2 linked regions of the Coturnix japonica genome follow. The protein of the gene in region 2 interacts with the protein of the main gene of each other region in a pairwise test. Links are inferred from orthologs where the notes say so. Each region holds a gene or a part of one and is shown on either strand. Other genes may lie near its edges.

Region 1 (4,068 bases), on a different chromosome or scaffold from region 2:
AAACGACAGCCATGTGAAATCCCTTTCTAGAAGAAGATGTGGTTGTGTTGAGGGTCTTGAGACGCTGAGGATCTGCTTGGACTGGTGTGTAACCTTGGGTAGAATGTTTGCCTGAGTGCCCAAGTTGCAAAATGGCAATGATAACATCACCTCTGCCCTCCTTCCTGGCTTCAGTCAGGAACTATTTGAGATCAGGACGGTCTCCTTTGTGACTTAACAGTACGTAATGTAATGGGCTAATTACAAAATGAAAAAATAATGAACCTGTGCTCAGAGGAAAAGCCCAACAAATAGCTCTCACAGCAACAGCCCGAAATGCTGATGTAGTGCAGTGGTTTCAGCAACTGCCATCCAGAGGTGATGCCCCCAGTTTGCATTGCACCGCACTGTAGCTCACAGCAGCTCAGCTGAACTGCAGCTGCTGCTGGGAAGGAGGAAAAGAGATGGACAGAGTAGGGAAACCTTGAGGTCTCTTTCTGACCTGTGGTAGGAAGTACCTGAAATTGCTGGAATTGGAAGCTGAGGGATAGGAAGAGTGGATGCTGGGCAGTGTCTCAGCACGCTCTCAATACCAGGTGTCACCTGAAAGCAGCACTCATGCCATCTCCAAGCACATCCCCTGGCCCAGCTGTGCCATGCAGCCCAGGGAGGTGCCAGGAGCCCGGCTGCTGCCAGCAGTGATGGCCCTCAGCATCATGCCTGGCAGACGAGTCAGACAGCTCGGAGCTCTGTTGTCACAAGGCTTTGGAGCAGATGGTCACCCCTGTACAGTGCCAGCCTGGCTGCAGCCCTGCTTCACCCAGCTCCCCACTGCCTGCCGTTATCCCAGCTTTGGGATGCAGAATGGGCAGGAGAACTTTGGGCCAAGACTCACCAGGGCTCTCTGCTAAGGCTGTTATGCCGCCGTGTCTCTGGGGGAGATGGTGTTTTGCCTCCTTAGCAACTTGGCTATCTCCTGCATTTACACAGCACAGCGATGTGGCAGGAGTTAGAAGGCAGCAGAGCCCCTTGGGGCAGGTCCTGCTTCCTTGTTGCCCTTCTCACCCTTCTGAGCTCACCCTCGGTGTCAGAGCCAGGTTGTCTGCTGTTATTTCTGTTTTGCTACTTATGTGAACTTCAGAGATGAATTATTTGCAGGATTTCCAGCAGGCTGGAACAGGGCACTGCGAGCTCCTTCAGATGGGGAAAGCAGACCCGTCCCAGCAGACAGGCACGTTGTCCAGCAGGGTTACAGCACAGTATCCTGGATTTAGTATCCAGACAATCTACCCCGCTGCCTGGTGGCATTTCCAATGAGCATTCCTTGCAGCAGGGGATATTTCTCCCCTCTCTCTGCTTTGCATTCCGTGTTTAACCTTTCCTATTCTATACACATGAAGCTTTGGTTTCATTTTTATCAAATATTGGAGTTTCCTTAGGCAGGAGTATAAACCATACACAGAGCTCCTCAGCACGCAGTGAGGTGCAACCAGGGCTGCCTGCCAGCTGTGACGGCACTGTTGCACAGGTAACAGCCACTTCCATTCACACTCAACCTCCTTCTCTCTCCAGCTACTCTGGAAGCTGCACATCTGTTTTTCCCAACAAGCACAGAGCATGAAGTCACCACTTTCGTACTATCTTCATTTGCAGGCATTGTCTGTAAGTGCCGTACACGTTGGTTTTCCGTACATGACTGCAGATCACTGACAGGCAGAAGGAGCATAAGTAGGACAATGGAAAGCACGCACGGGACTTGATGGCTGTGCCAGCAGGTCCACAGCAGCCTGACATTTGTCCTTAGGACTGAGTGTGTGTGTCTCTGTATTTATGGACAAAAACCACACAGGGATGTCTGAATAAAACCCAATGACTTCTGACTGGCATCAGCAGCAACAGGGAAACTTAAGCAGATCAAGGAAACATCCAAATCCCCCCCACCCCATCTCATTTCCCTCCTAACTCACAGTCCCACTTTAGGAGTCACTATATTTAAACCAGGATAGTTAAGCTATCATTACGTTGCTGCCTCATTCATTTAAAGCACGAGCAGGAAAATTAGAGCGGGACATCACTATATTAGACCAGAAAACCCTTCCACTTCGCACTACTGACATCTTCTCTATCTCCTTCCCTTCTTGTGTGTAACGCACGGTGCCCAGGCAGCGCTCAGAGCGCAGGAACGGGCTCTGCATTCAGCCAGGGGGGACCGAAGCATCGCTCCGCTGTGACCCCGATCTTACAGCGGCGCTGGAGCCCACCTGCGCCCGGGACCCTCCGCTCCCCCTCCGCCACCCTCCAGGATCCGCAGCGGCCCCACGGCTCCGCTCGGCCGCAGCATCCCCGCCCAAGAGGGCCCCGAGAGCCCCGGTTGTGCGCAGCCCCCAGCCCGGCTCCGAGCGCGCATCTCCGCGACGGGGAAAAACGAAAAGGGGGGGGGGGGAAAGGAGCCTCGCGGAGACTTACGCCCGAGCTTTGGGGAAACCCATTGACAGCAGGATCTCCAGCGACGAGCCGTGTTTGATGGTCCCCGCTCGGTGCTGCCGGTTCCGCCGGGGGATGACTTTGCTGTACAGCTCCTCTTTGGCAGCCATGGCGTGCGGTGCGGGCTGCCCGCGCTGGGCCATCATGCAGCCATCGCCGGCCTCGCAGGGCCATGCACACCGCAGCGCCCCAACAGGGGCCGCGGTCGGGGCAGGGCCGAGGGGCTGCGCCCTCCTCCGCTCCGCGCTGCTCCGCGGCCCCGGGGCCACACGTGCGCACCCGGCGGCCGCTCCGGAGCTCGGGGAGCCGAATGCCCGCACCGCGGCCCCGCTCAGCCCGCCCCCGCTCTTAAAGCCGCCGCCCGGCGCCGCGGGCTCCGCTAAGGGATGGAAGAGGGGGGAGGAGGAGGAGGAAAGGGGGTGGAGGGGTTCTCTGGGTTGCTGGAAGAGCGCCGGTTGCCTTGTGGAAAGCGGGGAAGGTGGGCACTATTATTTTTGTTTTCTTATTTGTTTATTTCTTTCTTTATTTTCCCGGAGGAAAGAGCTCTGCGCGATGCTCCTCTTTCCTCCGGGAAGAGGCAGCACATGGGGGAGGTTGGGTGATCTCGGAACTCTGGGGCTGTGGGGTTCCAGGTCTCTGTGCCGCTGGATGAGCTGTGAGAGCACGGAGCTTTGAAGCAGATCTAGTTAGAGGCAACAGAGTTGCGCTCCGAATTTTCTATCACCATCCTGGGTTTCTGCATCCTCCACGGCCCTCTCCAGGCCATCACACGCAGTATGTGGCTTCGGAATTCCCCCTTGGAGAGCTTCAAGAGTTATCCTCCTCCTCCTCCTCCTCTCACCTCTCCTTTGCCTTTCTTCCACATCCCCCCCTGCCCCAGTTCCTCCATCTGAAGGCAGACAGGTCCACCCTGCTGAGCACCCAGGAAGGCAGGGAGCATTGAGAGCACACAGCCCTGCACACAAATAAAAGCAGTGAAGATGCTGTTCTTTCAAGTGCAACAATTTATGCTGGAGCAGGAAGCAGTGTTGGCAGTGACAAACCTATCCCTATCATTGCTGGTTTGTTGTATCAATGAAGCACCTTCTTTCCTGCTGTTATCCAGAGGTGAGGTACTGACCCAGCCTTCACACCTTCCCAAAACCTTCCAGAATCTGAACAATATCCAGGAATTCACACCATCAGAACCTATGAGGGAGGAGAGGGTTGCTGTGTTTTGACTTAAGTCAACGTGCCTCACTTCTGTGTGCTTTTTTTGCTCCATCTGTATTAGTCAGTCAGGAAGTAAGAACAGAAATGCAATTTGTTATGGATGCAGCTTCCAAGGACTTTGCCCAGATGAGAATCCCTTTCCTCTGGCTGCTCCAGATTCAATTAAGAAATCCATATAATGCAGTGTTGAAGTTCCTAAGCTGCATACCTGCATGGAATGGCTTTTCAGGCCTGCTGGAGCAGCCTCAGGTCTTTGCAACCTTGGTGAGTGCCTCTGCATTGGATCAAGGTGAGGCTTTTTGCATTGGAATGTATTCCTTGAAATAATGCTTCCTCCTTGAAACTCACACATGGTCCCTTTACCTCCAGGAAGATGCATTCTTAGGGGATGAT
Region 2 (3,500 bases):
TACAAACCTCTGCTTTCTTCACCAGGGTACACTGCGGGGACTCCCTACAAGGTCCCACCGACCCAGAGCAACAACGCGCCTCCTCCCTACTCTCCGTCTCCGAATCCATACCAAACTGCTATGTACCCCATCAGAAGTGCCTACCCACAGCAGAACCTGTACACCCAGGTACGTGCCTCACTCTGCATCTCCCACCACCACCTGATACGTCCCCTTGGGCTCTTTCCTCCCCAAATCCCACATGTGAACACTGGGGCTCGGGTGTCAATGCCATACATGAGCTTGTGGTCCCCATCCCGGTGGCATCCCATGGGCCTTGCTCTCCTGCTTCCTATGGCACAGCCCCCTTTGTCACCTTCACCAGCATGGCCCAGATTTGTGTCCTTGAGCTCCTGGCTGGGCTCCCAGCGCCATCTTCTGTGCTCCAGCATTGCTTTCTGCCTCCAGCCATGCACCAGAGCCAAGACCCCATGTTGGACAGGTGTCCTCCAAAAATCTCCTTGCTGCCTCTTCCTGTAGGAGATAATGAGCTCCTTGCAGCACTCTGGCCCTGCAGCTTTCCTGGCTTTTCTTTTTTTTTCCTTCCACTTTAATGGCTAATAGGACTTCTCTTGCAGCAGTGACCTGGTTTCTCCATGCCAGGTTGCATTCAGAGCATCTCCTCTGCCCCATTTTGTCCACTTTCCTTCCATTAGCTGAGCACAGGGGAAGCTATCAGGGTCAGAAGTGTGCTCAGGTGCTCTCTGCTGGTTCCTGACATGCTCCCCATCACCTGGCACAAAAGATGGAGGCAGCTTTGCCAGCAGCTCTTTGCTGCCATTGGGACTTAATCCTGCAGGGTGACCCTTGCTGTGTCGGAACAGTGGAGCCTGGTGTCAAGCTCAGGCATTTTGCAAGGAAGATGCTGGCTGCTGAGATGAGTACAGGCAGGAGAAGGCTGAATCAGGATCATAGAGTCACCAAGGTTGGAAAATACCTCCCAAGATCTTCCAGCCCAGACAACCACCCACCACCACTATTTGCCCATGGAAGGTTGTGTGCTGTCCTGATCCTGGGCTGGGCATGCAGCTGAATCCCAGGAAGGCTATCAGCTGCTCCATGCTCTGCTCTACCAGAAGGGTATCAGGCTGATTTCTGTCCCCTTCCACATCTCTCTTGGCAAGTTCTTCCCTTCCTCAATGTAATGCAGTGTGTCTACAATCCACCCTGAAAGGAAGAAGTAATATGATAGTTCATCCGTTTCTCCTTTCCCCCCTTCATCCATACCTGAAGGGCTTCTCCCATGCCTGTCCCAGACTGCAATAAGATCTCCCCTCATTGTTCTCAGCCCTCTGATCCCTCCGACCTTCCCTGTTCTTGCAGCACTGCACTGCTCACGTTTCGGGATCACCGTTACATGGGATGTGGGGCTTTCTCTGTTGGCTCCTTTCTTTTCTCCCCCTTGTTTCCAGCTCCCTCGGCTCTCAGTAGCCCGGATTTCAGAACCCCTCTGTCTCCTTTTGGAAACCTGAGGAGCTGGTGCTCCCTTTTGTCTGCCCGCTTCCCGCGCCGAGGCAGGCCCTTTGGGATCAGATGGGGCCACAGTTCCTCCTTCCCTTAGTTCTCTTGCTCATTTTGCATGCCAGCAGCCAACATACTTTGGACTTGGCCCCATTTCATCCCATCAAACCATGCAGTGTTTTATGGAACCATGGGATTGTTAAGGTTGGGAAAGACTGCTAAGTCCATCAAGTCCAACCATTGACCCATCACCGCCATGCCCCCTACCCATGATCATATGAATCCATATAGAATCATGGAATTGCTCAGGTTGGAAAAGACCTTAAAGATCATCAAGTCCAACTGCAACCCAACCATCCTGCCCTAGAAACCCTCCACTAAGTCGTGTCCCTGAGCACCACATCCAATGGATCTTAATAATAAATGGATCATAAATGGATCTTAAATGCATTCAGGGGTGGTGACTCAACCACCTCCCTGGGGACCCCATTCCAGTGCTTATTGCCATTCCCTCTGGAGGAATAAATAAATCCTTCTGTTTGAAATTGTCCTGGGAGGAACTTGGAAAGGGGTGGAGGCTGGAAGAACTTCTAGAGAATGGGAAAAAATGTGGATTGGGGGTTTCTTTCCCAGCTGTGTGTGCTCCATCCATTGGGACCAGCCGTGCCGATACATGCTCGGGACGTGGGCTTTCTGTGGGATGACAAAGCCGGTGGTGTTTTCCCTTTCTCAAACAGGGAGCTTATTATACCCAGCCAGTGTACGCGGCACAGCCTCACGTTATCCATCACACCACCGTGGTTCAGCCCAACAGCATCCCCTCGGCCATCTACCCGGCCCCTGTCGCTGCGCCCCGCACCAACGGCGTGGCCATGGGGATGGTCGCTGGCACCACCATGGCCATGTCAGCAGGTAAGAGGCTCCTCTTTGGCCCCACAGATCCAGAGCAGTGGGTTCAGCTCTTGGATGGGACAAACCCAAGCAACCCACACAGGCAGATATCAATTAGTTTGCACTTCATGCTGATACCACTCAAGGCCGTAGGGCTGCAGAGGAGCTCTTCCATTTGTTGTGCCCTAGAGGGATTCACTTTTGCACTCTGTTCCACAAATAAAGCAACAGCCAAGCTCACCCTTCTCCAGCCATGGCTGCATTTCTACTCTCGAGCTCTTTGTTAAGATACTTACCATCCTGCAGCACACACTTAATGAAACAAGTATTAACCTTGGTTTACACATCACTCTCAAATCCTGTGTGTTGCATGCATGGGGTAATTTCAGTCCTCGTAAAACATGATTAACTGAAGACACATTAAGTCACTGAGCCAGGCTGTGGGCTGTTTTATTTTTTTCCAAAGCCTGTATTTCTCTCCTCAGAGGTTCTCCAGAAAACAATTCATAGCACTGTGTGCTGAATTATGCAAAGAAAGGCATTGTTCACCCATTTGCATCTGCATTAGCTGAGAAATAGGGCTCTGTTGACTCCCTGTTATACGGAGGGATTGCAGCCTGTGCCTCACAAGAACCACTCTGAGATATTTACTACTGTTGCTTGCACTGAGAAGTGGGCAGATGTAATTAATGCATTCAGGATGCCCTAAAGTTCCAAGCACCCCATTACTCTTAGAGCAGAAACATTTGAGATCGTATTCTCCCTTTTTGAGTCTGCTGAAGGCACCGTGCACAATCTCACTTGGAATCCCCAGCTTGTCATGGCTCATAGAGGAGGGGATGCTCCTGATGTGCCCCAGGGCTCTCTGGGGTCTGCTCCTTGGGGCTCTCCAAAGCCTCTTTGACGTGGTGCTAGGTTAGCGATATCCCTTCTCACCTCCCCCCATGCTGTGATACTTTCACGCCAAGCCTTTCTCCTCGCTGTTGCTGCAGGAACCTTGTTGACCACCCCACAACACACTGCCATCGGAGCACATCCAGTTTCCGTGCCAACGTACCGGGCTCAAGGAACCCCCACCTACAGCTACGTACCGCCGCACTGGTAAACCC

Evidence for each region. The genes of interacting proteins can lie anywhere in the genome.
Region 1: the proteins of FAM168A (region 2) and UBASH3B interact in binary tests that used the Homo sapiens proteins (3 or more experiments, as listed by UniProt). The two-hybrid records come from large-scale screens. The link is inferred for Coturnix japonica from reciprocal best matches to the Homo sapiens genes FAM168A and UBASH3B.

What each region holds. Positions count from the first base shown.
Region 1 is NC_029539.1:2,677,940-2,682,007, forward strand, and holds the start of UBASH3B (ubiquitin-associated and SH3 domain-containing protein B), read right to left. Parts: upstream 2,801-4,068; 5' UTR 2,610-2,800; coding exon 2,446-2,609; intron 1-2,445. UniProt on the Homo sapiens protein: Interferes with CBL-mediated down-regulation and degradation of receptor-type tyrosine kinases. Promotes accumulation of activated target receptors, such as T-cell receptors and EGFR, on the cell surface.
Region 2 is NC_029516.1:174,975,222-174,978,721, reverse strand, and holds part of FAM168A (protein FAM168A), read left to right. Parts: intron 1-25; coding exon 26-168; intron 169-2,237; coding exon 2,238-2,412; intron 2,413-3,383; coding exon 3,384-3,496; 3' UTR 3,497-3,500.